4 linked regions of the Astyanax mexicanus genome follow. The protein of the gene in region 3 purifies or fractionates together with the protein of the main gene of each other region. This does not show direct contact. Links are inferred from orthologs where the notes say so. Each region holds a gene or a part of one and is shown on either strand. Other genes may lie near its edges. The genes, in order: bag2, nadsyn1, stub1 and pparg.

Region 1 (7,951 bases), on a different chromosome or scaffold from region 3:
TCAGTGCTATATCCTGTAAGGTTGCTTGAACTATAATTAAAAATATCTATAATAATAATAATAAAAAAATGCAGATTTTGTGTATATTACCTGCCTGTCTTTCTCTGTTGCGTTCGGCGTGACACATTAGTTTCCGCCTGTTCTCGTTTTTACGCTCATTCTTGGGCTCCCTCTTCTTATAAAGGCGTTTTTTCACGGTCGCGTCCCAATTCAATAGCTGGAGCTATTGCGCGACCCTGACAACACGGGTTCGATCCCGCGTGAGGAGCAGTGTGTTTATTTATTTCTTTATTTCCTTACCGCAAAGGAGAGCATTTGGTGATCTTACACCACACATGATTGGTCTGTGAGTTTACTGCGCCGCAAAGCACGTATACAATGAAATCATTTTAAAAGGTTTGGGTCCGCATTGGACAACATTTGAGTTGCCTGTTAGTGACCTCTGTACTAGTGCCTCTTTTCAGATAAAGAGTTTTCCCCAGTAAACTTTTGCTCTATTTGTGTATGTATTACATATTTACATTTACACATATAATGTTTCATTTGGTTAATCAGTGTATTCTTTTCTACTGAGAACAAGAGAACCAAAAACATTTTCATAAAATGATTATTAGAAATAAAAATCCATCCTAAAGCAAGAAGACGGATCTGCTGGTGCAGCTCGTATTTATAGCCTCACTGAGCAGCAGCTGCATTTCTGCCAGAGTCAACAACTCCACACAACTCCACTGCTTTAGTTCATCTGACCCGGTTATAAACTTTACTACACAGAGTTTACACACACACACATACACACACACACACACTTCTACTACTGTTATCATCAGCGGTGTGAGATTTTTTAAGTATTATGGCTTTTAGAGGAGTATTAAGGGAATGGGAGTATTGGAGTAATATGAGTATATTTAAAGGAGCATTAAGAGTATTAAAAGTGTAAGAGTGTTAGAGTAGTAAGATTAATAGAGGAGTATTAAGAGTGGGAGGGTATTAGAGTAGTATAGGTATTATCATACCTGTCAAGTCTCCCGTTTTGGCCGGGAAACTACCGTATTTTACTCCTCTTTCCCGCCGTCCTCCCGTATTAGTATTTTCCCGTAAATTTCCCGTATTTTATTAAAATAAAAAAATATATATTATTGAGGATACAGGGCACTGACCGCTCTGTGTCTCTTAACCAATCGTGGAGCCGGTTCAAGGAGAAAGTCCCGCCTTTCAGGAGAAACAGCCAATCAGCTTCCAAGGAGGGTCAGTGTGGGGAAGCCCCGCCCTCCTCGCTGTGAGTTCAGGCAGCTAGTTGGAGCTGCTGATGTTAAAACATACATGCAGCGATTTTTCTAAAAGAAAGGTAACGGTAGTCTAATCATGGAAACTGTGATGAGATTTTTCTGATAGCTGCTTAAAAATACTCCGAAATAAAACACAGAGATTAAACCTTTTAAAATAAAAAAAAATTACAGCTTGTGACTCAGTTTAACTAGAAATGTGGAGAGGACCGACATTAACTGAACTGATCAGGGGTGGAGTGATCAAAAGGAAGAAGTATTAATTAAAAATTATTGTGTAGGCCCCTTAGGACTAATTTTTACTGATGGAATATATCTGGTCCATGTCCTTTTAGTAAAAGCTCATAATACCATTTTTAGGTCACCAACAGTCATTTTGCAGAATTTGTGCACTCTTTGTTCAATTTTAAATCCATTAAATAAATAAAAAATATATCATATAAAAGAGTGCATTTATTACAAAAAAGACATGAAATCTTAAATAAAAAAAATATATAGAAAAGGGTTTTTAATTTGGCTGTATTAAAAGAATGACATATCCACAACATGTCCACAACATGTTCAGATTCTGATAATCTAATTGTAGTGTGTAAGTGGTTCACATGTGGTTATTTTAGATTTTTTGTAAACCTGTTTTAAAATGTAAGAGATACTGAACCTTCGTTGGGCTGGTGGGACGGCTTTAAGCGGACAGAGGAAAATATCCCTTATTTTTAAATCTAAAACTTGACAGGTATGGGTATTATGAGTATTAAGAGTGTGAAAATATTAGGTATTATGGGTAATAGAGGAGTACTAAGGTGTGAGTATTAAAGTATTATGGGTATTAGACGAGTATTCAAAGTGTGTTAAAGTATTATGGGTATTAGACGAGTATTAGGAGAGTAGTAAGAGTGTGAGAGTATGGAGTATTAGAGTAGTATGGGCATTATAAATATTAAGGGTGTAAGACTATTATGAGTATTACAGTATTATGGGTATTAAAGGAGTATTAAGAGTGTAAGAGTATTAGGGTATTGTGAGTATTAGAGGTGTATTAGAGGAGTATTGAGAGTGTAAGAGTATTAGTAGTATGAGTATTAGATGAGTATTAAGGTGTGAGAGTATTAAAGTATTATGGGTATTAGAGGAGTATTATATAGGTATTAAGAGTGTGAGAGTATTAGAGTAGTATTAAGGTGTGAGTATTAAATTATTAGGGGTATTAGATGAGTATTAAGGTGTGAGACTATTAGGATTATTAGAGTATTAAAAGTGTGAGAGTATTAAAGTATTATGGGTATTAGAGGAGTATTGAGACGTGAGTTTTTTTTTAGTATTATGGGTATTAGAGGAGTATTGAGAGAGTAAGAGTATTAAGATTATTAGAGTATTATGGGAATTATTAGTATTACGGTGCGAAAGTAAACCCACCTCGTTTCCAGATCGTCCAGACTCTCCAGGAGGCGCAGAGAGCGGTCCGCCATGGAGACAGTGCGGCTGAACTTCCCGCTTCTCGCGGCTTCGTTGATCTTTGCGCTGATCTTGGCCTGAGCCATGGCCGCGGCTCTCAGTGCGGAGACTCGGCTCTACACGGGCGGGTCTGAGGGGGTCTCAGTGCGGAGACTCGGCTCTACACGGGCGGGTCTGAGGGGTCTCCTCTCTCCGGCTCCTTCTAGCGGTTTCTCTGACGGACAAACATCTCCTAACATCTCCAAACATGGGCTGGATCTCCCGGGGTATTCCCGCCCTCGGGGGGAAACGGAAGGGCGCTGAGCGGCGGGGGAGGATCAGAGCAGAATAAACTGAATTATTAGCCGCTTTAGCTCCATCTCTTAATGTATTTATTTATTCAAACTTAAATCTGCCTCTATTTAACTCTGCCTCTATTTAAAATTGCCTCAATTTAAATCTGCCTTTATTTGAAATTGCCTTTATTTAAACATTGCCTCTATTTACCTCTGCCACTCACTTTATTTAACTCTGCCTCTATTTAAAACTGTCTATTTAAAACTTTGCCTTTATTTAACTCTGCCACTGATTTTAACACTGCCTCTATTTAACCCAGCGTCATTTTATTACTGCCTTGCAATGTTAACACTAACATTGCCTCTATTTACCACTACCTTTGTTCAACTCTGCCTCTATTTACTACTGCCTTTATTTAACACTGCCTCTTTTTACAATGGCCTCTATTGAACTTTGCCTTTATTTAAGACTGCCTTTATTAAAAACTGCCTCTATTGAACTCTGCCTTTATTTAAAGCTGCTTTTATTTAACGCCGCCTCTACTAAACCCTGTCTCTATTTAAAACTGCCTCTATTTAAATCTGCTTTTATCCGCGCCTTTATTTTAACTATGCCTTTATTTAACATTGCTTCTGTTTAACTCTGCCTTTATGTTAAACTGCCTCTGTTTAAATTTGCTTTTATTTAACACTGCCTTTATTTAACATTGCCCCTATTTAACTCTGCCTCTATTTTATGCTGCCTTTATTTAACTCTGCTTTTATTTAAAACTGCCTCAATTTAAATCTGTTTTGATTTAACACTGCCTTTATTCAACACTGACTTTATTTAACTCTGCCTCTATTTAACCCTGTCTCTATTGAACTCTGCATTATTTAACATTGCCTCTATTTAAAATGGCCTTTAACTCTGCCTTTTATTTAACACTGCCTCTATTTAACTAATATTTTAATAATGCTTTTTAATGCTGCCTTTCTTTAACTCTGCCTCTTTTTAATGCTGCCTTTATTTAACTCTGCCTTTAACCATGCCTTTATTAAACTGCCTCTACTTAATGCTGACTTTATTTAACACTGACTTTGCTTAACTCTGCCTCTATTTAACGCTGCCTTTATTTAATTTTGAATCTGCCTTTATTAAACACTGCCTCTATTTAACTCTGACTTTATTTAACATTGCCTTTATTAAACTCTGCCTCTATTTAACACTCACAAAACTTTCAGGAGAAATGCACTCTCCACAAATAATAACTATTATAATATAACAATGATCATAATTAACATAGAAATAGAATATTAACAAAATACATATAAAACTGTAATGTGTAATTGTTTTGTGTATTTTTGTATTAATACCGATACAATCAGGTGCATAATTTGTATAATTCTGTTAAGAAATTATGCTTAGATAAAATTAATGAATTTTACCCTATGGATGTATGATTATCACCACAGATTATTAACAAAGATCATGACCTCAGATTATTACATTACATTACATTACATTACATAACATTTGGCAGACGCTTTTGTCCAAAGTGACTTACAATATTGAGTTGCAAATAATAGAAGAGGTTAAGTACAAAAATAATAGAAGTTAAAAATAAAGCATCTATAGATAGGGCCTTAAGGAGGTCAGAGGGAAATAATGGGATAGAGGAGTAGAGAAGAGGAAGAAGGAGATGAGGTTAGAAGTAGTTAGTGTGTTAGAGGTGTTAAGAGAGTAAGTGCTCTTTGAAGAGCTCTGTCTTCAGGAGTTTCTTAAAGATAGCAAGAGATTCTCCTGATCTGGTAGTAGAAGGTAGTTTGTTCCACCATTGGGGAACTCTGTATGAGAACAGTCTGGATTGCTTTGTGTGAATGTTTGGCAAAGCGAGGCGACGTTCATTGGAGGAGCGCAGCGGCCGGGAGGTAGCGTAAGCCTTCAGGAGTGAGTGCGGGTAGGAAGGAGCCTGTACTGTCATCACCTTGTAGGCGATTGTAAGAGCTTTGAATTTGATGCGAGCATCAACTGGTAGCCAGTGGAGCTCAATGAGCAGCGGAGTGACATGTGCCCGTTTTGGTTGGTTGAAGGAGTTGGTTGGTTTATCAGAGTTCATCATCAAAGATTAATATCTGAAATTATCACCACAGTTTTATCCTCAGAAATTAGTACCACCCTTTACCAACAGAGTTTATTATCTGACATTATTATTAAAGATTACATTTGGGGTTCTTGGTCTAAGATAAATTTCTATATGGCCCAAAAATGGGCTTTTCCAAAACTCTCCTCTGTCACATTCTGTGGTAAATTAATATGTTCAGAACTCTGTAAATTTTATTCTGTGTACATTCTGCTCCTGAACATCAGTCAATCCTCTGAACTGAACTTATGTCACAGCAACACAGAACAAGAGGGGACTTTGGCACAACACCAGGGAATGAGAGTGTTACAGCAGGAAATCACTAAAACAAGCAGCACAGTATTTATTTCAGAACCAGGTTCTAGCACCAGTGTAGTTACTGTGCTATTAGCATGTTTAATTAGAGATGCAGTAATCATACTGGTCAACTTCCCTGGATATACTAACACACCGGCTACACCAGCAAACGCAAAATACAAAATACATTTGCTGTGTTGTTCAAGAGCCAATCAACCAGCCAGTTTACTCCCAGCCAGGCTCAGTAATGTGGGTTATAGTGGTTTGTTTATCTTATAAATATTCTGATTGTTTTTTATGTAGTGAATGATTGAGAGAAGTTTTTCCTTGTTTTAGTACATTAAGCCACGTTAAAATCTAGCATTGTTGTTATTAGGACTCTTAATTGATCTCATAATTCAGAGGATTCAGCGGGGTTTAGGAGCAGAATGTACACAGAACAAAACGTACAGGGTTCTGAACAGATTTATTTATAGAGATGAGTTTTTGAAAAGCCCATTTATTTTTGTTATTGACAAATGCAGCTTAAGACATGGAACCACAAATATGGCAATAAACATGACGCCAACTACAAAATGATCACACAGCTGCAGTGGTCTATTAGGGTGAACTAACAGCTGAACTAAACTCACTCATCTCATCAATTTCAGTTAAAATAATAATAATAAAAATCAGAAGACGACAAATAACCAGTTTAGTCAGTTAGTTCTTTATTTAAACTTCAGAGAACATTAACAACATAAAAAACAAACATACAGGTCAAACACTGTTTGAACTATTTTGCAGGTTTTAGCAATCAAAAGTCCTGCAGGCTTCTTTTCAGAGCTTCTTCCATCTCTGTAAAACACAGAAAATAAGTTAGCTAGCTAATTTACTCATTTATTTATTCAGAATTATCATTACCTGAAAGGTGATTACACTGGAATTACTAATGACTTACATTTACAAATATGTGTAGTAAGAACCTGTGCAGGTTTTCAAGACACTACAACATTTACCTAGCCCTGATAAAAACACATTCACCCCTATGAAATCACACTGTGCAGAGAAAGATTATTAAAAAGGTCTGATTTCTTGATCAGTGAAACAGTGACTAAACAATTGCCTCCTAACTGCTGATTTGAGTCAATGTGATGAAACTGCCTGTAATGATGTACATTTGATTTTACTCTTGAAACTCTCCTTTAACCAATAGGAGCCCAGGCCCAGTTTTAAGTAGTGGTTCAAATGTGTTAAATTAACTGAGCAGCTCAGTTCTCCTCAACACTGTACAGTGTCTGTGCATGCTACACCTCACAGTGCTCATCACCCCTCGTTACACCATTTTCCCACAACAACTCACTGAGTTACCAAACTGAATTAACATACCATATTGGTGGCACTTTTCACGCATGTAAAGCTAGCAAAATAAAAAATAAATATAAAACATTAAAAATAATTAGAAAAACAAAACTTGGGTAATTCTAAAACATGTACAGAAAGCCTGACCCACCTCGATCAAATTCGTTTGGTTTCTTTGCTTCCTCAGCACTCAAAGCCAAAGCAAGCTTCATCTCCTCTTCAAAGTCATCTTTAGACTCTTCCACAGATTCTTTATCATTGATGCTCGAAGGAACAACACTCTTCACCTGCTGAAACTCCACAGCTAGAAAAAGCAAGGACAACTTCAGAATAACTCAACAACTGTGTCTTTCTAGACACGTCAGAAAACATTTCTCTAAAATGTGATCAAACTTCATTTAAATATATATCAAATGCCCTTTTATATTTTAAGTATGGATTACATTGAATAAAAATCAGAAATCCAGTATCTTAAACTATTAGAACATTTCAAAAGTACCTCAGTCTAATTCAGCTTATGCAATCATGAAATCATGAAAAATCATGAGTGAACACTGCTGACATTAAAGTAATCATGAAGACGATCAACAAAACCCTCCACAAGAAGGGTGAGCCACAGAAAGTCATTATGAAAAGGTGTTTTTGCAGACAGACAATCAAGTCAAAGTCTTACCATTCTTGTCTGCTGAGATTTCTTCTGCATTCAAAATGTTGGTGACAGGGACTCCCTCCTCGCCTGTGCCGTTGTTTCTTAAGGACACACAGGGTTCCAGTAGGCAGTGATGGTTGTGGTAATGTGTGTGGAACCTGGGAACATCGCGGTGGCTCTCGGAACAGGACATGCAGACAACATCAAAGCTTCTGCCCAGAGCCTCGTGTTTTAGGTACACGTGTGTTTTCATCTCTGCATAGGAGCCCACTGTTGTCGAGCATTGGTGACAGACATAGCTGCATTTGCTTTCGCTGGCTAGCTGCTTCATGCACCTCGTAAAGGTGGACTTCTCCTCTTCTTTGGGTTTTTGGTAACCCATGCAGGGGCACAGCTGAGGAGGACTTTTGCTTGAAGAAGGCACATCGGTGGAACTGTCTTCAATCACATCCGTTCCATTCGTCTTGTTCAAGCAGTAGTAGTCCTTGCTGTGCAGACTAACATAATGCTCCTGAAACTCCTGCTCAGAGT
Region 2 (6,966 bases), on a different chromosome or scaffold from region 3:
TAGCATAAAAAAACAGACAGAACTTAACTCAATAACATATGTGCTGAGTGCCATGGACCACAGACACTGCCTTACACTATTACCTCACTAACTGTTGAGCCCACATACAAACAAATCCTCACAGCAATGTGAAGCAGAGAGAGAAACAAACTTTGAATGAGTGGGATTCATAACATTTTAGACATACTGTAAACTAATACAGAGGATTTATACTCATTTGATTGTCAATACCAAAGACTGACTTGTTGAGAAAAAGGACTCTGCAGTTATAGCGAACGTTGTGATGCATAACAGGCCTGTAAAAAGAGTAAAGAAATATATTTATTACTCATTATCAGAATCAGTAATGACAGTGATCACTCCTAAACTGAACATTATACATATTATACAGCAGCTTTAACACTCACATGCCAACATCGCAGATAATGTCCTGGGTCAGCGGAGACTCCAGCAGCTCTTTGAGGACTTGGAAGCAGTGGAGAAGAGTGTCTGATTCATAGAAGTGATCAGCACATCCATATCCACTAATGTTCAAAACACAAAAAATATACACAACACAAAAATATGAATATATATAAATAAAATGAAACAATAATAAAAAAGGCATTTTAATAACATTTGGTGGTAGAAGCTATAAATTAGGGCTGCAACTAATGATTATTTTGATAGTCGACTAATTTGATGATTATTTTTTTGATTAATCGATTAGTCAGTGATTATTTCTGGCATGTCTTCCATCTCTAAAAACGACAGAAACAGCTGAACATGAGATTTAAAAAGCATTTAAATGTCTAGATATTGTTTAAACATGGAAAGTGCTGATTATTTAGTGAGTAAATATGTGATCTGTTGTGTTTGGGCACTTTTGGAGACACAGACTAAATTGAGTGTAAACTGTGTGAGTGAGCCATTTACCCCCATTTATCTCCCATTGCGCTTCTGTCCCCAGCACTTTGTGTAATGCAGTACTGTTACAAATTAATGATTAGCCGACAATAAAATTTGTAGTCAACAAATTTAAATGAAAATTAAAATCAACATTATCAATTATATCGACTAATCATTGCAGCCCTTCTATAAGTAATTTATAAAGTATTTATTTGCAACATAGCAACAAGTTTAAATTTAATTACATGATCTCCAGCTAAATTCACCATGTAGCACAATATGTGCAATATATTTATTTAATACTATCTATTTAATTACTAACAATCCATGTGCAAAATCACTGGCCACTGCCTACCATAACACATGCATACTGGGGAACCATGTTTCCTTTAATCTTAGATTTATATAGATTTATTTATTTTAAGTATTTTCATATTCTTCTGTATTTATTTCCCAACACTTCTTCTGTTCTTCTATTCTTTTCTCTGTACCACTGTTACTTTTTGTAACTTTCCCCACTGTGTGATTAATAAAGGATTATTATATGTCTTATCTTTAAACACAGGGTCACTATTGAGATTTTCTTTGCTTATATATTCCATTATCCATATATATTTAATCACTCCATAACTGTTCTTCTGTTCTTCTGTAACTAATGTTAAACAGTATGCTTACACTGGGTAGCTACAGTATGTATGTATGTAACAGATCAGTAAGTAAGTGTTTGTGCGTTTTCTCCCTCTGTGTAGTTTAGTTTTACACAAGCATAAACATAAATACACCAGAATGTGCACCAATAAACCACGCGAGCACATCGTCTCCTCTGATTGGTCAGAGCTGTCTGGCATGGGAGCAAGAAAGTAAATATAGTCAGGGTGGAGCTGGACGATATATTCATTATAATGATTAATTCAAATTTACAGTTAAGGATGATGTTTTTTATGAAAATCTTTTTTCTCTGAATTTTAATTTCCACCACCGAGTGCATTGTGTCAGTACCTAAACTATGTTGGAGAAAGCTTTCTAAAAGTTACTGGATGTTCTCACTGTTTACAATAGTTTTTTGCTTGTTTCTGGTTGCACTTTAACCACAAAAGGGAAATTTAATGAAAACAAAATAGTAAAAAACTTGTTTTATTTTTAGTAGGGGAAAAAAATTGATAAGAAAAAAAAAATACGATTTTTGTTTTGGCCATATAGTCCAGCTCAACATCAGGGTACTACTTTTTTGCTGCTTTTAGCAAAAGAAAAATTTAAACTGTTCTCATTTCCTATTATATATCTACTAGAGACAGATTATATCTGTCCAGTATCATTTATTTTACTTTAATCCTGGATATATGGAGATATTTGGAGTGCATTATTAGTATCATGATATTCTAGATCATTGGCTACTGTTACAAATCTGATAAAATTCTTTCTTTCTTTTTTAATATCTCAGTAATTGGGGTTCCGTATCATATTATTGATATTGTCACTTTGGGCATCTCCAAGTGTCACTTTGAGTATCTCCAAGTGTCACTTTGGGCATCTCCAAATGATATTATTTTATAGCCCACCCCTACAGCAGACCTTATTTTTCAGCACATACTGTTGCTGAACCTAGACCTGCAGACCAACTGCAGCATCAACCCCACATCTTTTAACTTAACTTACTTACTTAAATCCAGGTGGAGACTTTTTATTTTTGAAAAAAGGCAGTGTAGATAATCACTTCACATCAAAGTTCTATCAGACAGTAAAGTAATAAAGTAAATTACCAGATTTCCAGTTCTGGTCCCAGTCTGTATTTGGCTCCATTGGCTTTGGCTATTTCAATACCTGTTAATGAGGAGTAAAGTCAGAGTTAATCAGGTCAGTGTAAATTACTGTACTGCACTGTACTGCATGTTCACAGCATGCACTGTTCTGCTGCAGAAATACAGACTGACTCATTCACTGATTCACTGCAGCTTCAAAAACTCACTGTTCAGAATTCTCCTCAGATTCCCATCAAAATCCAGAGCCCACTGATTCAGAGAGCACGTGGCTAACGTCACCTTGCGACCCATTCTACCTGTTTAAAGAGCTCTACAGAGAACCCAGCGCTCAGATACACTGTAACTTTATCAATACCACACATCCTCTACACACCAGATCACCCACTCGAGACTGATTCCAGAGTGTCCCACCACCAGGGGCGCTCCTGAGAGAGACCAAAATTAATGAGTTTATACTATATATACTATTTATAAAGTTTTTACTATTTATAAAAAACAAAAAAATAACAATTAAATGTTATTTACTAAACTAACTAAAATCGTAATCCCATTTCCCAGCAGGGAACGAGCACATGAACAATGCAAATGAACTTTGCAAAATTATGCCAAAGCATAAAAGTTGTAAATTAAAATTATGTTATTTATGTATTACTTAGGCTATTCCTATTATCGCCACCACCAGCAGCCACGGTAATATTAACAGAATTAACAATTGAAATTTTTTACATGCAATTAGTAAAAAAAATATAAGACACCTTACTGTTAATAAAAAATGAAACTAAATGTAAAGAAAACAATCGTTTGTGTAAAACAGTTGTTATTTAAGAACTAAAAATCGTAATCATAAGAACTAAAGAATTGCTCATATATTTGAAGAATATTGAGGTTATTTATTTTATTGTTTTTTTTGTTGTTGTTGTTTTTTTTACAATATTTTAGTCTTTAAACGTGCTCTAGCTCACCAGTCAGTCAGCACACAGTAGCAGTAACACTATCACCTTTAATGCGTAAATCCTGTTTACTGTAGAAAAGGAATAAATACAAGTTAGTTTGTCTTCTTTTAGTAAAATACGTCATTACATTTTGTAAAAAAAATATCTAGAACAAGTAGTTAGTTATTATCAGAGGTGTAAAGTATGAATTACATTTACTCAAGTTACTGTAATTGAGTAGATTTTATGAGTAATTTGTAATTTTTAAAGTAGTTTTAAAATAGGTAATTTTACTTTTACTCAAGTACATTTTGACACAAGTAATTTACTTCACTACATTGGAAAACTCCCCGTTACTGAGCAAAAAATAAAATGCTGGGAAAAAAAACAATTGTTTGAATAATAAAAAAAAAAAGATGCTGACCTGTGGAATAACAAGGCAATAACGTCCTCATGCAATGCAAAATGTGCCCCACCAGACAGAGCTGTCAGCTTTCAAAACTTCCATACCATAGAATCAAAGATCTTAGAAACCTATGCAACTTGTTCAAAAATGTTTTATTTTATTTAGACCTTTCAGGCAGTATTTGCTCAGACCACCCCGGTCTGAGCAAATACTGCCTGAAAGGTCTAAATAAAATTATTATGTGGAATAATAGTTTATAAAAACATTTTAATTTATGATTTGTTGTACTTTTTTACATCAAATAATTAAAAGAAACTATGTAGCTTTTACTCAAAGTACTTTTTAAATTTTACTTTTACTCAAGTAGATTTTTAGATGGGTACTTTTACTTTTACTTGAGTAGAATTTTTGGAAAGTAAAGGTACTTTTACTTAATTACAATTTTTCTGTAACTTTTCCACCTCTGGTTATTATTTTTAATTTGAGATTTTAGCCTTTTAGCTCCATTAACCCCTTTTCATTCTGAACTCGCGGGCTCCCTCTATCGGTCAGCAGTCATTTACTGATATAACGGGGGAGATCGGGAGTGGCCATGCTCTCCATAAAGCAGCTCTGCTCTGTCTCTACTACTGTCCTTCCGTTATACTCTGCACAGTTTTACATACACGCCAAAATAAAAGTCCCACCCTTCTTTATTTATCACGGGTTATTAGTGTGATAGTTACGTTATGATTGCCTGTAATTGTTAGTCTGATGATGATCTGAACACGTTTTATTTGTAACTAAAGCAGAAATCTAGATTACTTTACTCTTTAACAACCAGTGCAAAATAATAAAATTAGCACTACAGACAGATAACAGAGGTTTACAAAGGTATCTGTTAAATCTATTAATATATCTAGACAGTAGGGAAGGGTGCTGTGTGTGATCTACGGGAGTGTGTTTACAGATTAAGGACCCTGTGAGGTAATGAGCGCATTTTAAACTATCGACTAATGTGTTTTTTATAATTATTAAAACTAAGAGCAGTGTTAGTGGAAAGTTGTGTGTGATAAAAAGGCCCCCACATTACCCTGGATTGTTGCAAATGACAGAGCTTATTATTCAGATTAATATAAATAATATAGATATTAAAAAAAACTATATAAATATTTAAATATGAAATAAAATAAGCAAAACCTGAGAAGTTGTTATGCGTTTAGTTTTTTTCCATAGCTGTGGGGAATTCAGGCGTTTTTATAGAGGGCGCGCGCTTTTACGCACAGAATGAGCTTTTGCGCATGACGCGTGTTTTTACGCACGGAATGCGGTTTTACGCACAGCGCGCACTTTTACGCACGGCACGCGTTTTTACGCGCGGTGCGCTATTTTACGCACGGCGTGGAGATGCCTAAAAGGACACTTGCAGATTCTCAAAAGGACCCTTGGAGATGCCCAAAAGGACACTTGGTGATGCCCAAAAGGACACTTAGAGATGCCCAAAATGACACTTGGAGATGCCCAAAAGGACACTTGGAGATGCCCAAAGTGACACTTGGAGATACTCAAAGTGACACTTGGAGATGCCCAAAAGGACAATTGGAGATGCCCAAAAGGACACTTGGAGATGCCCAAAGTAACACTTGGAGATACTCAAAGTGACACTTGGAGATGCCCAAAAGGACACTTGGAGATGCCCAAAAGGACACTTGGAGATGTTCGAAGTGACACTTGGAGGTGCCCAAAAGGACACTTGGAGATGCCCAAAAGGATATTTGGAGATGTCAAAAGGACACTTGGAGATGCCCAAAGTCACTCAAAAGGACACTTGGAGATGCTCAAAAGGAAACTTGGGGATGCCCAAAAGAACACTTGGAGATTTCCAAAAGGACACTTGGAGATGCCCGAAGTGACACTTGGAGATGCCCAAAAAGACACTTGGAGATGCCCAAAAGGACACTTGGAGACGCCCAAAGTGACATTTGGAGATGCCCAGAGTGACACTTGGAGATGCCCAAAAAGACACTTGGAGATGCCCAAAAAGACACTTGGAGACGCCCAAAGTGACATTTGGAGATGCCCAGAGTGACACTTGGAGATGCCCAAAAGAACACTTGAAGATGCCCAAAGTCACATTTGGAGATGCCCAAAGTGACACTTGGAGATGCCCAAAAGGACACTTGAAGATGCCTAAAGTCACATTTGGAGATGCCCAAAGTGACACTTGGAGATGCCCAAAAGGACACTTGAAGATGCCTAAAGTCACATTTGGAGATGCCCAAAAAGACACTTGGAGACGCCCAAAGTGACATTTGGAGATGCCCAGAGTGACACTTGGAGATGCCCAAAAGAACACTTGAAGATGCCCAAAGTCACATTTGGAGATGCCCAAAGTGACACTTGGAGATGCCCAAAAGGACACTTGAAGATGCCTAAAGTCACACTTGGAGATGCCCAAAGTCACATTTGGAGATGCCCAAAGTCACATTTGGAGATGCCCAAAGTGACACTTGGAGATGCCCAAAAGGACACTTGAAGATGCCCAAAGTCACATTTGTAGATGCCCAAAGTGACACTTGGATCCTGGAGATGCTCAAAATTACATTTTCAGAGTGCGCTATAGAACCCTGTGGTGCAGCCTAAGCTTTTGTCCTTAATGGCATTTTCCGCCTTATTTTTCCTCCTACTTTTATAAGTAGTTTTTTAAAAACAGTACTTTTTAAACTTTACTTGAATAAAAAGCTCGAATTAATACTTTAACTTCTACAGAAGTATTTTAAACCCTAGTATCTATACTTTCACCTGAGTAATGAATGTAAATACTTTTGATACCTTTGGTTAGCGATGGGAAAATTTGCTAATTTTGATTTTCCTCAATAAATTAATAAATTACTAATGTGTAATATTTTACCTCATTTGTTTGATATGGGTCTCCTTATGTACTTTCAGGACTCTGAGGCATTAGGAAATCAAATGTTTTAGGTCAAATTAAAATTTTGTG
Region 3 (7,879 bases):
AGTACCTAAACTTGTACCTTTGCTTGTTTCTGGTTAGCACTTTAAGTAATTTTAGTAAAAAAAAAATAAAAAATAAAAAAAATTAAAAGAGGTAAACAATTTATTGGTTGGTCTGTGTGAATAAATCAACTGGAAAATGAAAGACATAGGAGACCATTGATAATCCTCCTCGATCAGGAGCCCCATGCAAGATCTCATCCTGTGGAATCAAAACAATCATGAGAACAAGGAGTAAAAATCCCAGAACTACACAGAGGGACCAGATGAATGACCTGCAGAAAGCTGGGGACCAAAGTAACAAAGACAAACTTCAGTAAAACACAGAGAGGGACTCAAATCCTGCAGTGCCAAACATGTCTCCCTGCATAAACCAGTACATATCCAGGCCCGACTGAAGTTCACCATAGAGCATGTGGATGATCCAGCAGAGGATTGGGAAAATATCATGGTAAGAATTAATGAATGAAGACATGTATCATGAGATTTTAAGCCAAAACCTCCTTCCATCAGTGAGAGCCTTGAAGATGGAACATGGCCGGGTCTTCCAGCATGACAATGACCACAAACACAACACTCGGGCAACAAAGAAGTGGCTTTATAAGAAGCATTTCAAGGTTGAAACTCTGTGTTATTACTGCCTCCTCTAGAGGGAATCTGCATGGAGGAATGGGCCAAAACTCTAGCTATAGTGAGTGCAAACCTTTTGTTACTGACCAAATAATATTTTCCACCATAATTTACTGAATTTATTTACCTATGATGAAAATTACGTACCTCTCTCATCTTTGTAAGTTGGAGAACTCGCACAATAATCAGTGGCTGACTAAATACTTTGTGTGCTATTCTAATAATGAATTTACTTCCATAAAGCACTCAGCTAAAATAATAAAGTGCTAAAAAAGTGAGTATAAATAAACATTCAGTATAAATAATCTTTACTTATTCATACTTGCATACAATCCTCATCAATTACCTAAAAGTACTCCTATCAGAGTATTGAGTATTGATATTTAAATTAAAAAGATTAACGATATTCCCCCAGTTCCCAGTCCCACTCTCTGGCTCCTCCACACTTACGATGGCTTTGCTGTAGCAGGCCGCGGCCTCCTGGTACTTGCGGCAGAGGAACAGGCGGTTGCCCTGCTCCTTCAGCTCCTGCGCTGAGGAGGAGCTCTTCTCCGGGCTGCCGGCCTGCATCTTCTCCACAGGCTCTGCGGTGGCCGCTCCCCCCTGCTTCCCAATCCTGTTCCCCGTCTCTTCGGCTGGGGCACCGGCGCTCCCGGGGTCACCTGGAGAGATGCCTCTGCCCTCGAGCTGCAAATCCAAAAAGTGAACACAGGATCCAGACTCAAATACAACTCTAAAACAACTCAACTAGTTTTCTCTGGATGAACAATAACTCAATCAGTAAAAAAAAATTAAACGGCCAAGGGTGGCAATATATGAACATCTGGGAAAGGGGATCATTATCACTGGTTTATATTCATATACATAAACTTCAGAACCATGCATCGATTAGAGCATATTACAGTGCGCTTTATTATTACAGTACTCTCGCTCCAGTCCTATCACAGAGTGATTAAATTGCAATAAACACACGGAAAAGGAATTATGCTGCCTTCAAATGGTGTTGGAAATATCATATTTATGAGAGGAGAGCACATTAAGGCCACCACAAACTCTGAACAAACTGTATTTAAAAGTGGGAAACTCGGATTTTTAGATTAGCACAGAGTTTCCCAGTTGGGGGCGTGTCAGTAACAAGAGGTCAAAAAATTAATAATAATTTTACTGTTATTTAAATTGATAAATAAATTAAATAAATTGATGCACACTTGAACACTTGCATGTTGTGATTAGCTAACTAATAAATCAAAAGTCTAGTATGATTCATAGTTCTAATGGGATAAAACCATCACTTAACTAATGCGTGTCTTTATCACTCTTTATACTCCTGGATTAGGGCAAAATAAACCTGCAGGTTTTTTTTTTTTTTTTAGAATCATAAACCAAAAGTATAAACAAAAGATTTTCCTAATGGCGTCCATTTCCACCCGACCAAAATACACTTGAATGCATGTCGAGTAATTACGACATCCAACCTAAAACAAAAGAGTTTTCCAAGGAGGACGTGAAGGCAGCAATAATGTATTATGTGGAAGCGTCACATTACAATATGCTCTTCCAATCATGTAACCACACACATGGCACAGGGAGCGGATAGCTTCTACAGGTTTACTTAAAGTGAAATCCAAGGCTTCTTGGCATTTAAATCCCATGTTCTGCTGTTTATATCGTTTTGAAGTGGAGGAAGATAGAGAAAGAGATACAACCTATAGCAAAGATGGAAGAAAGAGATGGCAGAAATAATAGCTGACTATTCGACTACTCTGTTAAATAATCGACTAGTTAGTCGATTAATCGACTAGCAGAATAATCGTTAGCTGCAGCCCTAGATTAGGGCTGCTCATCAGGAAAGAGAGAGCAAAAACAGGGCTCTAATGACACAAAACGCTTAAAAATGACTAAAAACAGATAAATATTGAATTAATTTATACACGAACGCGCTAATAGTGGAGTTAATAAGCTTTTATCCGCTGTAAGAAGCTGAAACTCGCTGTTATTTGATGGAATAGGCCTGCTCCGGTTCCGGCTGCTGTCGGGACCTACCGGTGGTAAACTCAGCGCTCTGCCCGGCGCCCACGCTCCTCCCCCGGTCACAGCGCCGCGCAGACTCCGCCGTTAGCTTAGCTTAGCCTAGCAGCTCTGTCCGGCAGGCGGGCTGCTCGCTCCGTGCGCCCCGCGGTTTAAGCGACTCGCGGGTTCATCTCCGGTTTCTGCTCTTTATAATAATAAACCCAGAACTGCGGTCTTTCTCTCCGCGGCTACAGGGAGCCGCTCATCCTCGCGCCGCTGCGGAGCCGCTAAAGCTAAAGCTCGGCTTGTTTTCCACCGTGACGTACAGCCGCGGACATGTACCCGGAGAACCGAGTCCCGTCAGCGCACTGAATCGATTCAGTTAATGAACACGCAGTTTACAGCTGTTCAGTTCAGACTGACTCCTGATTCAGAGAGTCGGTTCAGCTGGATTCTCGGTAGATACTGTTGCTAGGCAGGACAAGCCTTCTTCCCCTGTAATAAAAAAGTGTATTTAAGTATATTTATTAAAAGTATAATTAACATAGAAAAACACGTACTTTTAGCATTAAAATCAATACTTACTTAAATACATACTAAAACGGAACCCCTAAGATGACACCATGTAAAAATATTTAATAATGCATGGCCACGACTTATTAAGGCATAGGAATGAGATCCTAAGGTGTGGCCAAAACTTATGGCAACTTAAGTTTATTTCTACGTAGCCCCTTATGTGACGTCATGTAAAAAAAAATAATTATGAGTGGCTATGACTATTATTAAGGCATAGGAATTAGTTCCTAAGCTGTGGCCACAACTTAAAGCACAGCGACTCAGTTCTGTTACATCAGCTCACAGAGGGTTCAAGGGAATGTGGGAAAGCTATTCGCTCATGTGCATTAATTTACAGAAAAGCAAGCTTTATTATTCTCTGGCTACAACTTAATTATGTTGTTCCCACACCTTAATTATCTCATTCCCAATAACTTGTGGCCACGCATTAGGATTGTATATTTCAATTGTAATTAAGCTATATTTAAATACAACATAAAATTAGGAGTTTGTGCATTTGAGTGCTTTTTGTATAACATCTGTGAACTTAATTAGATTCAAGTTTTTTTTTTTAACATAATTTTTAATACACTTTACAAAGTATAATGTAAATTAAAGTACACTTTAAGCAGTAGTCAATGCCTAGCACTGTCTTGTGTGGGAGTAAAAAAGTAAATATAGTGAGAAGTTCCAGTGTGTATATCTGTAAATCAGTGCAGTGTGAAGCTGATTTAACACAGAACACAGAAAATTTGCTGCAGCTCTTTTAAACACAGTGTTTTCAATGGGACGTGCAGCGCATATGTACACATAGTAAACAGAGTCACACAACTGTGAGCAGTAAACGCAGCACAGACCACGCTCTTAGAGCGTAAACAGCATGAAGCAGCATTTGTTCATAGCTGTGGTAATTATATCAGATTAAACTGCACCTTATCAGCAGTTTAGCTCAAATAAAAGAAGTATATTTGATATCTGAGTCGGATCGAGACCAGATCACGTTTTCACCACAAGTGAGAATTACTGTGTGATTATTGTTTTCGCACCTGCTCAATTAAACCGCACTAAGAGTACAAACCAATCAGAGTCTGTTTTAACCAGAACAAATAGTGCTGGTGTGAAAGCTGAGTGTAGTGTGAGCTGGGCGTGTTCTGCTGAGCTCATCCAGCTGATCCAGGGCTTTCTCCTCTCTGGACTCCACTCTGCTGACCCATCGCTTTCCCCTGGCAGCACAGCTCCTGTTAGGAGGTGCCTCCTTTCAGACATTAAAATACGACCACTTTATTTTATTATGCTTTATTTTATTTTATTCGTTTCTGCAGCGGTAACCCAGAGCAGTAGAGAGGGATGACTGTTAATTGCTAAATAAATTAAACCATATTTGTCTGCTGTCTGTCTTGTAAGCTAAAAAAAAATGTAAGTCGGGTCATTTAAACAGTTAAACCACACTAATAATCTAATTTGTATAATGACCACTTATCACTGTATTCCCCAAAAATAAATATATTTTCACACAAATTAAACAGAAAGCGCTACAAACATTTTCTTTTTATTTATCAAGAGTTAATGCATTAGTATGATTTGTTGTTTAAATTTTCATATTCAATATTTATATCAGCTAAAAATCTGCTGTTAAATTAAATAAATGATCCTTTATATGTTTTTTTCACATTTATTGGAAATGCAAAACAAATCACGTCAATTACTGTTCAGCGATATACCAGTAAAAGAGACAATTTAATAGGCATTCAACACAGACACAAAAAAAGGCAAATATTGTTTTTAATTTATTGAGTCTAATTTCTGTATATATTTACAGATTTTAAATCATTATTTAGTGTTCTCTAGTGTTACATATATGCTATTAAATATAGCATATTCACTTTTTTTAAATATATTTTAATACTGTTTGATGTTTACTCCTTTAAAAGATCTATCATCACACAACGTTTACTTTAAGCTTAAATAGAAAAGTCGTTTTTTATAACTATTTTGTATTAAAACAGACTATTACTTTAAATAGCAATATGTAATATTTACATTGGGTAATATTACTGTGTATTATTCAAATAAATTATCATCACAATAGCTGAAATGTACGCTGAATTAATTTTTTTATTTCAGTTTTTCAGGTGAAGCTCCCACGCACTCAGGTGATCTGGAGGGGAAAGTCAGCTGACCTCACATAGGCCTGTGGATTGGCTGCCTTTTGGATGATTCAAGCAGGTGGTCTGTTTGTAAAAGCCTTACTTAAACTTAAGTTATTTTCTGTCTTTTTTTTATTTTATTTTATTTCGTTGTGGTTCCAGGTAAGTTAGCTGGGGGCTGGGTTAAGATTTGTTTTGTTGGATATCGTGGCATTAAGCTCACCCTGAAGTTGTTGTTAAATTTTCTTTTTGTGTATTTAAGTGATTTGTCTTGATTTTAATACATATTTACTGAAAACTGACGTTTATGTTGTTGCCTCCTTAAACCCTAGACGTTTTGATTAGTTGGGAGTTTCTTCCCTCAAAATATAAAGTGGGTCTTTGCAGCTCGTTTGAAGTAATAAAACGTGTTAGTCTTGCTTAAAAAATTTAGAAAGTTTCTAACCTTTAAAAAAAATGCTTTTATTGTGGTAGTTTCTGCCTCTGCAGCTCCCCTTCAGGTTCAGCTGTGCTATAGGCCAGGATGATGTTTCTGTGTACTTTGGTACACAAACACATCACAATATGCAAATCAGTCAATAATCAATAATACATATCAGAGGCACACTACTCAGCCCAATCAGCTCTCCTTCCTGCTCCGCATCTAAACCCATACATCACCTATAGTGCCCCTCTCAAACCACCCCTCCCATTTTTAGCCTTTTTCAACTTTAAAATCAGGATGTGTGTTTTGGACATTTATGGAAATACAAAACAAATAACATCTCGTATCGATTCAATATGGTATTTTACAGGATGGGTCGTAACCGGACATGCAGAGACAGACGGGTTCAAGTTCATAAAATCCATTTAATGAGTTAGATTAGGACAACATGAATCATAACTGCATTATAAAAGAACAGGAACATCTGAGACCTGAAAGAATAAACCATCAGAGAACTGGACTCGGCCATGAATCACTCACTCACTCGGCGTTACTGATCTCTAGCCTGGTCTTCTGCTACTGGAGGAGACAGCAGGACTTCTTCCTGTCTGTTTAGGGAGGAGAACGTGCAGCTACGTTTATTTACACACTCACACACACACACACTCATACACCCACACACACATTCACGGGCTGTCAAACTGACCTCAGAGCAGCTTTAAATAAAGCCTGAGCCACCTCACACACACTCTCTTACACACTCGCACTCACACACTCTACGAAACAGTACAGGTACACGGTAAAGAGCTCCACCGTCTAAACAGATCAACATAAAAAGGGGGAACAAAACTAAAATAAAAGAAATGAACATAGTAAACAGAATAATTGGCTGAAAACGTGGCGAATTCTGTAAATGCAGCCGTTTACCCCCAAATACTAAACACTATAAAGACTGTAATGCGACCGAACGACGGCTAGCTCAGCACTCTTAATTCCCTTTACCTACAGTTCTGCAGTTCAGTGCTCAGTGTAGAGTGGTGATCTCCAAGCCCAAAGTGTTCAGACCCAGCCCAAATCAGATTTTTACCAGATCTAGACTCAATCCAGATTAATGTTTGATATAGTCTGGACATACAGAAAATACATGAAATAGGATTTTAGCATAGTTATCTAGTATCCTGATTGATTTGTGACAACCTGGACATTAATAAATCACATGAAAACGGATTGTTGATATATGAAGACTAATCCAGATTGATATTTGATGGTCTGTATATCCAGATATCTCATGAAATTGGATTTTTGCTGCATCTAGATTGCATCCAGATTTTTTTAAAAATATTTTGTGCAGCCAGAAACCACATGAAATAGGATTTTAGCATGGGTACACAGAGTCTCATTTCATGTTTGACAATCTAAACATCCAGATATCACAAAAAAAATGAAAATGAAACATGAAACCTAATCCAGATTGATTTTTGATAGTGTGGATATCCAGAAATCTCATGAAAATGGATTTTTGCTGCGTTTAGATTGTATCCAGGTTTAATTTTGATATTATGTGCAGCCAAATTGGATTTTGGCATATGTACTTAGTATCCCGATTTATTTTTGACAATCTGGACATTAAGAAATCACATAAAAACGGATTGTTGCTATATGAAGACTAATCCAGATTGATGTTTTGTAAGATGGTCAACCTGAAACCACATGAAATATATTCTAATTAGTTTGTTCATCAGATCTGAATCCTATTTGGAGGTGGTTTGAAATCTGATTATAAATCAGATTTGTTCAGATACATCTGAGTCTAATCACTAATCACCACAGCACCCATGGCAGATACAAATTTGTGGTGTTCAGACATGCAAATCCGATCTAAATCACTGTACAATCAAATATCAGCCTCTCCTGGAGAGCTACGTACTTTCCTCGGGCTTAAAATCCAACCCCACTAATCCCAATCCCACTTGACCCAACCAATCAGCTCCATCCGAAGCCGCTGATTGGCTGAATGGGAGTGTTAGATTTGGGCTGGAGTGTAAACCTGCAGGAAGGTAGAGCAGCTCTCTGAGAGAGGGCTGGAGATCACGCTTCACACGGCCTGATCCACAGA
Region 4 (7,483 bases), on a different chromosome or scaffold from region 3:
GATCTTGCAATGTACACAAATGTACAGGTGAAAGCTTTACATTTAGCTTTGTGCTCGGACACAGACGTTTCTCCCGCTTTACATACAGTAGACCTGCGTAGATGCTCTGTCCTTTTAAAATAGTTCCATAAACACCCATTATAAGCTCAAAAAGCTCTTTGCTTGTTTTTTTCACATTGAAGAAAACCCTTTTATAGGTGTTTCTACATTATATGGGACCTTGACCTTGACCTACATGCTTCAATACTTCTACTTCTTTAATAATTGTGAATAGACCCATGATCCCTTAAAGAACCATTGAATGCTCTTGAAATAGCACTTTGGTTGGTTATGGGTTCTTTGGACTGATTAAAAACCTCCTGTAGATGGTTGTATTTGGAAACAAGACAACCTTAAAGAACCACTAAATAAAAACTAATAAAACTAAATAAAAAAACTTTCTAGGTGGTTCTATTTAGAAGAATGAAAAATCAATGTACCATGTGTTTTTCAAATAGTGCTTTGTTTGGCTTAATGTTCTTTAGATTGGTAGAAAATCTTCTGTAGAAGGTAAAATTAAATGGTGTTTTGTTTGGTTAAATGGTGCTTTGTTTGGCCCATTTGGAAAACCTTGGAAGGTGGACTTATATACAGAGTAGGACCTATATAGTGTTTAATGTAGAGTTCATTTATTCTTCTATTTTAAAAGAACCCTTTATTCCGTACTCAATGGAACCCGTTTTTTGTGTAGGGTAGAGTGTAGGGTCTGTGAGAGGAGCTCTGATTCAGTTAGATGGAGAGAATGTGAAGGAAAGAGTGATGATGTGAAATCCCTTCCACAGGGACGGGATTGCAACAAGAACATGATGTTTTCCACTGATATTTCCTAACAACAGCGGTGGTCAGGCCAAGATGAAGTGTGGAAAACAATGATTTTACATATATTTGAAGTTTCATCACTTACAGTGTTACACAGCTTCACACGGATACACCAAAAACCTCTTGTATTAAAAGTGCAGATCAAGTACAAAGGAGAAGTTCAATGGAGTGATGGAGTATTTATATAATGCTGTCAGAATTTAAAGCCTTTAAATGTCAAACATTTGTGGAAATCTGGGCTACGTCCCAAATGTGTACTTCACACTAATACTATCAGGTATATATTATTATATAATATATTATTATACATTTAGCACTGAGTACTAAACTCAGTAGTGCTGGTTTGGCAGATTAGTACACAACCTTTTTAACATACTAACCTGTTTTAAAAGTGTGAAGCACTGCTAAGCCAATATACAACACGTCATTGACATCACTGCTGCACTTGCATCATTATCCACCATTTATTTTCAAATAATTGTCTTGTACGAAAAGTACTTCCTCACCACGTTGACCACATTGTGGGGTGTCATTTTGTATAATGCTAGAGCATCTTTGGTCTTCATTACAGGCATTTTACTTAAATGATGACCTGCAACTAGTGGCCCTATCTTTTCTGAACCCCGTATCTTTTCTGTGTGCAACAGTACAATACTCATTCATCTCTGATTGAAACTGTGAGGGATGCTATTGGATGCACTGTCAACATTCATATACCCCTACTGTTATATCTGCAGGAACTGCATAAGAGTATTGAGGCTGCATGGGATGGACATCATTCGCAGGACATCATTAGGAACCTCTACAACTCCACGCCTGTTGCATATGCATTATACACTACTTCTGTATGTGTAGCTCAATAAATATTAGCCAAACTAGTGTACATTTAAAAAAATGTTTTGTTCCTAGTAACTTCATCATTATCTTCATCACAGAGTCTGCACCAGAGTTCATGTCTTTGTTATGTTGTGTAGGTTTGCTCCAGTTAGTTTCGGTTTCACACTGCAGTTTAGTGAGCAGAATAAAGAACTTTACTACATCCTGTCATCATCAGCTACATGGGTGGAGTCTCTCTATACTTAATATTTATTGGTTTGCAGAATGTTAGATATGAATATGCCGAGTTGCTTTGCCTGGTGTGGCCGATTCTAGCTCTCTGTCAGAATCTGAAAATATTCTTCTCAGATTCCTTTTATTTCTGTTTATAAATAAGGGTTAACCTACTGTTACAGTAAATTAATGATTTTCCAGTTTAAGCGTTTGTGTCCTAAATGCTGCATCCTGCACATCAAGGGTCTTTTTTCTTCTGGTTTGTTTAAAGACTGCATAAACTTCCTGTAATAAGTTAGAAAGTCAGAAGGTCTAAACCATCTAGAGAAGTGTTTTCACACTGCAGATGAACCGGACCTTATTTCAGTAGATCTAGACTGAGACCACCTCTTTTGGTTGGACCAAACTCTCCAAATCAAACAGCTGCTTGTGTGGTTCGCAGTCCTGTTCACACCTGCTGGTTTGATTCAGACCCAAACTGAAATTCTGACAATTCCGACCAAACAAGGCAGGTGTGAAAGCACCATTAATCATCAATACTTCAGGCTGATCATCCTGATGATCCACATAACTGGTAAAAGCACAGACTGAAACTGGTTTGGTCCAAAAGTGGTTTAAACACCTGAAAGGTTTGAGGGCATTATTGTCCAGCAGCACTGCCAATAAAATAAAATAAAATGTATGCATGATCCACATCAGCTTCCTATTTACCATTGAAACTCAACAGGTAAAAAATCAATCTGCATTAAAACAGGGATTGCAAAGTTCTAAAAATGCGCTGAACACACCAGGAAACACTGTTCTTTGTGGACAACTAATATTCAAGAAATGAGAGCAAGGAATATACACAAGAAAAACCCCAGAAAATCCACTTACCAACCTCCATTTACCACCCGTCACAGTCACATAGTCCTGAGGCTGAGGGAAATCACAGGTCTGGCAGCTGAGAGGTGCTACCGTTCACGTAGCTACAGTCTGCAGCAGAGCCGGGATCATCAGTAGAGGACACCAGCCGAACCTGCCTGACCACATTCAACGACATCTCCACATTCATCTCAGCGAGGCGGGCTGATAAGCCCTCAAACAGGCGACTGACTGCTCCTCTCGCTGTGGGATTCTGACCAGATAATTCAGCACAACCTGCATACCACACTCCTCTTCCTCAGACCAGAGGAATGTACAGTGCTAAACTTTCAGACTGTTTACCTCCAGGGTGTTCTTACAGCAGATCTTTCCTCAACTCTAACGCCTGTCTGCAGAAAATTCCCGTAAATGGTGAAACGGAGGGTAAACAGTATCAGACTAGGTGTAGCATAGGGGGTAAAAACATTGCACAACCTCCCTGCAGTCCAAAAAAATAAACGTACTACAAAAGGTTCTTCAGGCAATGACACAAAATAACTATTTGTTGTTCCATAATGTACAATTTCTGCAATAGAATTTTGTGAATTTGAATATTTAAAGACCCCTCTACAATTTTTTTTAAAGAAACTATAACTGGATCTGCAATGAGCTTGTTCATAGCGATAGTATCTGATCTTCACCCTGATTATATTTTTACCACATGTTTATATTTGCTAGTCATATGTGTTACCAAGCTGGACTCCAACTGCTGTGTGGGACGGAATATGCAAAAATGTGTTAAATGTCTCTCAGACCACCTACTGAAATGTTTTAAGTAATCCATTGTGTATCTGTTATATCTGCATCTCAGACCAACTTCTGAAGTGGTCAGAGTGATTGAATTTGTATTGGATTAAATGCATCTAAGACCATGTCTTGAAGTGGTTTGATTGATCGAATATAGTCTGTTTTAACTGTTCTCAGACCACCTCCTGAAGTCGTTTGAGTGATCGGATTTGTATCTGTTTAAAATGTGTCTTTGTGTGTTTACAATTGCATTTTGGCCGTATCTACAGTGGCGTCAAAAAGTATTTGCCCCCTTACAGATTTTTCTTGTTTTTGCATGTTTGTCAAACTTACTTTTTTCAAATTATCAAATTACATCTGGCATATAACTAACACATGATATATATATATAAAAAAAACATTATACTGAACATAAAACATGATGGTGGTAGTGTGATGGTCTGGGGCTGCTTTGCTGCTTCAGGGTTTGGATAACGTGCTGTAATAGATGGAACCAGGAATTCTGCTGTTTACCAGACAATCCTGAAGAAGAATATCCTGCCATCTTTTCCAGACTTCAAGCTCAGACGTACTTGGGTTCAGTAGCAGGACAATGATCAAAGCACACAAACAACAAGTCCACCTCTGAATGGCTTGGAAAAAAAAAATGAAGCTTTTGGAGTGGCCTAGTCAAAGTCTGATTGAGATGCTGTGGTTCATGGTCGAAAACCTCCAATCAAGCTAAATTAAAACAATTCCGCAAAGAAAGTGAGCCACAATTCCTCGATAGAAATGTGAAAGACTTGTTGCCAGTTATCGGTAAAGCTTGATTAGAGTTAGGTAGTAAGTTTAGGGGGCAAACACTTTTTCACACAGGGCTAGATTGGATTGGATACTTTCTTTCCTTTAATAAATCATATTAACAATTAAAAAGTATTTACTCAAATCATCTTTTCTGATATTTAAGTTTGTTTAATAATTGAAAAAATATAATTACGACAAAGCAAAGCAAAAATACATTTTATAGGTATAATCATGGTACTAAAGAAGCATTAAATTACTCATAGATCCTGTTTACACCTGACATTAAAGATCAATGAGGCGATTTTTGGGGGTGACCAGAGATGAATCTTGTCCTCATTTAATACATGTGTAAACAGGATGTTTTCTGTGATCAGTTTATGTGGAGGAGTGTGGGTTTTCCACCACTGCATAAGAAAACTTTAAATAAATTGGTATTTTCAATGATGTGGAAGAGAGCCTAAAATGCCTAAAATTTTTTTTTTGCCATTTCTGGCAGAATAATTTTGCCTGCCAAATATTTGGCCTATCAAGCTTATTAAGGTCTATAGACTGATATCTGGTGTGAAATGAACTTGGTAGTGTAGTGAAACGTGATTGGATAGTTGTATCTGCTGTAATTGCAAACGAGTGGAAAAGAGGAAAGAGCTTCATCTCTGTGCTCTAAACTCTTCACTGCAGTGCTGCTGGTTGGTCTCTTTGAGCACTTTCTGAAACAGTGTTTCTCTGAAAAGTGGAGAGTGTGGCTCAGGTTCAGGATTTGGTCGCGACACTGTAGGTGCGACATTTTCAATGGAAAAGGACGTGACCTCAAGATTCTGCATACAGAGAAAATGTGACTTCCTGACCTCCGCTCTGCCAGCAAAATCTCCCCCACTGAGTGTCACTCGTGCCCTCTCGCTATGAGACGGAGCCCAGACACCGGCTTGTCTCGCCGCCCACACGGCTACTACTGAATTTGCTGGGCAGGTGTTCGTCACTTTGATACAGGAATTACACTACGAGACTGGTAGACCACATGCTGGGTAGTCTGGCATAGATTTGTCAGGCTTGGCACGCGTGAACCCTGATTTGTTCTGAGTGATTTGGGAAACATGGTGTGCGGGGAAATCCCGAGACTTTCCTTCTGAACATCTGCTGTTTTTAGAGATGATTGAGATGATTGATGGAGGAAAAATGTTCAATACTGCACTACTGTTACATTTAAAAAGCCTATAGAGCCAATATCCACAGCTAGTCAATCATTTTTACTGACATCAATATTGTCATAATTATTTTAGTTTTTCTTAGCAAGGAGAAACCATTTATGTAAATGTGCTGACATGTTTCTATTTTTTTTTGTTTTGTTTTGTTTTATTTAAGATCTTTAAAATGACCAGACATTTTTATTTCAATTCCAATGTATGAATATTCTCAACAATGTAAAGTTCAATAAGCTTTTCAACATTATCACTATTATCAGTGGCATTAAATGCAGTGTCTTGAAATGACAATAAAATATTTTATCTCAATTATTTCTGGTAAAGTAAATCATCCAAACAAAATATTGAGACAGGTAGTATTGAGACAGAACTTAAACATAATGGGAAAAAAATCTGTGTAGAATAATAGTTTTAATCCAATCAGAACAAAGACATCTAACATCACACTATAACACTGATATCTAGTGGGTGGTGTTTAAACACAACACTAAATTAACCACTAATCTTTATATATAAACTAATAATAAAAAAATAATACTGTATTTTTGGAAATCGAGAACTAAACTGTTTAGGGTTTTTGTGACTGATTCTTGAACATTGTTCTCAAGAATCTGCTGATATTGACTGGAATCTATGGGTGGGAGATATGGCTCTAAAATAATATCACGATATTTCATGGTATTTTCATGATAACGATACTTTTGGCGATATGACAAAACACTGAATTAGAAAAATTATTTAGAATTGTATTATTGCATGCAACATGATATGGCTAACTGAGATATTAAAAAAAATAATAATTTTATCAGATTTGTAAAAGAAGTCAATGACTCAGAATGTCATTATACTAGTAATGCACTCCAAATATCTCTTTATATCAAGGATTAAAGTTATATAATCTGTCTCTAGTAGATATATAATGGGAAATGAGAACAGTGTGAATTTTTCTTTTGCTAAAAACGCCAAAAAAGTAGTACTATGTTGTGATAATTAGGGGTGGGTTTATATGACACGATATTTCAGGATATAATATCGTTCACGGTATTCAAATTTTTGGGTGATATTATCAGGTATGATACAATATGGCACAACCCTACTAGAAACCATGCTACCCTTAACTTGAACAAGATTCCCAGTACCTGCACTGACCACACAGCCCCACAGCATGATGAACCACCACTAAATTTTACTGTGGGGAGCAGGTAAACTGCTCAAATTGCTGATTAAAACAACCAATGATTTATTAAGGAAAATCATTAAAAATGATCATGGGTGCCCAAACCTTTTCATTATTAAGTAGAGAGTGAACAGTCAGTTCTTAAATTTGATTTGTTGTTTGGGAAAAATGGACAAGCGTCAGAAACTGAGACACTTTAACAGAAACCAAACTTTGATGCTCTAGACGACAAAACACCTCAGCATGAACTGATCAGAACCTACCGAAATAACTTAAGTCAGGATCATGAGCACCAAAGGGACACTGATGCTCATGAAGGTTCCGCCCACTTCACAACTTAACAAAAGGAGATACCACAGGATGCTTCCAGGTGTAAAATACACAATATTAGGCTGATGATCTTAATGTTATGGCTGATTGGTGCACATGTAAATGCAAATTTATATATTTTTTATATATATTCATGACATCACAAAATAAAAAAATAAAAAACTGTGTAATTAACACATTCTAAGACATACGCTATGTCTTAAAAAGAATGAGTGCAGCATGGACTTAGCTACTTTTAGTTGCGCCTATTACTGCTGAGACACACACACACACAGCTTATCTAGTCCCTGTAGGAGAGAAATATTGCCAATAGAATAGGACTGGAATGATGATGGTTCAATACTTTTAGATGAAATGATTTGGGGAGTTGCCTGAGCTCACGAAGTTCATGTTGCTAAATGCAATCAAATCCTCACAGCAATGCAGCTCCAAAATC

The links.
Region 1: the proteins of stub1 (region 3) and bag2 purify together in Homo sapiens (affinity purification with mass spectrometry; 7 studies listed by BioGRID and IntAct, with this or other methods). This does not show direct contact. The link is inferred for Astyanax mexicanus from reciprocal best matches to the Homo sapiens genes STUB1 and BAG2.
Region 2: the proteins of stub1 (region 3) and nadsyn1 purify together in Homo sapiens (co-immunoprecipitation; 3 studies listed by BioGRID and IntAct, with this or other methods). This does not show direct contact. The link is inferred for Astyanax mexicanus from reciprocal best matches to the Homo sapiens genes STUB1 and NADSYN1.
Region 4: the proteins of stub1 (region 3) and pparg purify together in Homo sapiens (affinity purification with western blotting; 3 studies listed by BioGRID). This does not show direct contact. The link is inferred for Astyanax mexicanus from reciprocal best matches to the Homo sapiens genes STUB1 and PPARG.

Annotation. Positions count from the first base shown.
Region 1 is NC_064414.1:16,371,595-16,379,545, reverse strand, and holds the start of bag2 (BAG family molecular chaperone regulator 2), read right to left. Parts: upstream 3,015-7,951; 5' UTR 2,822-3,014; coding exon 2,697-2,821; intron 1-2,696. Other genes in the region: E3 SUMO-protein ligase ZNF451, read right to left, coding at 6,227-6,267, 6,923-7,075, 7,445-7,951. UniProt on the Homo sapiens protein: Co-chaperone for HSP70 and HSC70 chaperone proteins. Acts as a nucleotide-exchange factor (NEF) promoting the release of ADP from the HSP70 and HSC70 proteins thereby triggering client/substrate protein release.
Region 2 is NC_064423.1:34,232,235-34,239,200, forward strand, and holds the start of nadsyn1 (glutamine-dependent NAD(+) synthetase), read right to left. Parts: upstream 3,006-6,966; 5' UTR 2,940-3,005; coding exon 2,855-2,939; intron 2,710-2,854; coding exon 2,649-2,709; intron 525-2,648; coding exon 408-524; intron 297-407; coding exon 243-296; exon of another isoform or gene 232-242; intron 1-231. UniProt on the Homo sapiens protein: Catalyzes the final step of the nicotinamide adenine dinucleotide (NAD) de novo synthesis pathway, the ATP-dependent amidation of deamido-NAD using L-glutamine as a nitrogen source.
Region 3 is NC_064413.1:56,075,577-56,083,455, forward strand, and holds the start of stub1 (E3 ubiquitin-protein ligase CHIP), read right to left. Parts: upstream 3,006-7,879; 5' UTR 2,671-3,005; intron 1,315-2,670; 5' UTR 1,198-1,314; coding exon 1,078-1,197; intron 1-1,077. UniProt on the Homo sapiens protein: E3 ubiquitin-protein ligase which targets misfolded chaperone substrates towards proteasomal degradation.
Region 4 is NC_064431.1:12,904,206-12,911,688, forward strand, and holds the start of pparg (peroxisome proliferator-activated receptor gamma), read right to left. Parts: upstream 3,017-7,483; 5' UTR 2,795-3,016; coding exon 2,785-2,794; intron 1-2,784. UniProt on the Homo sapiens protein: Nuclear receptor that binds peroxisome proliferators such as hypolipidemic drugs and fatty acids.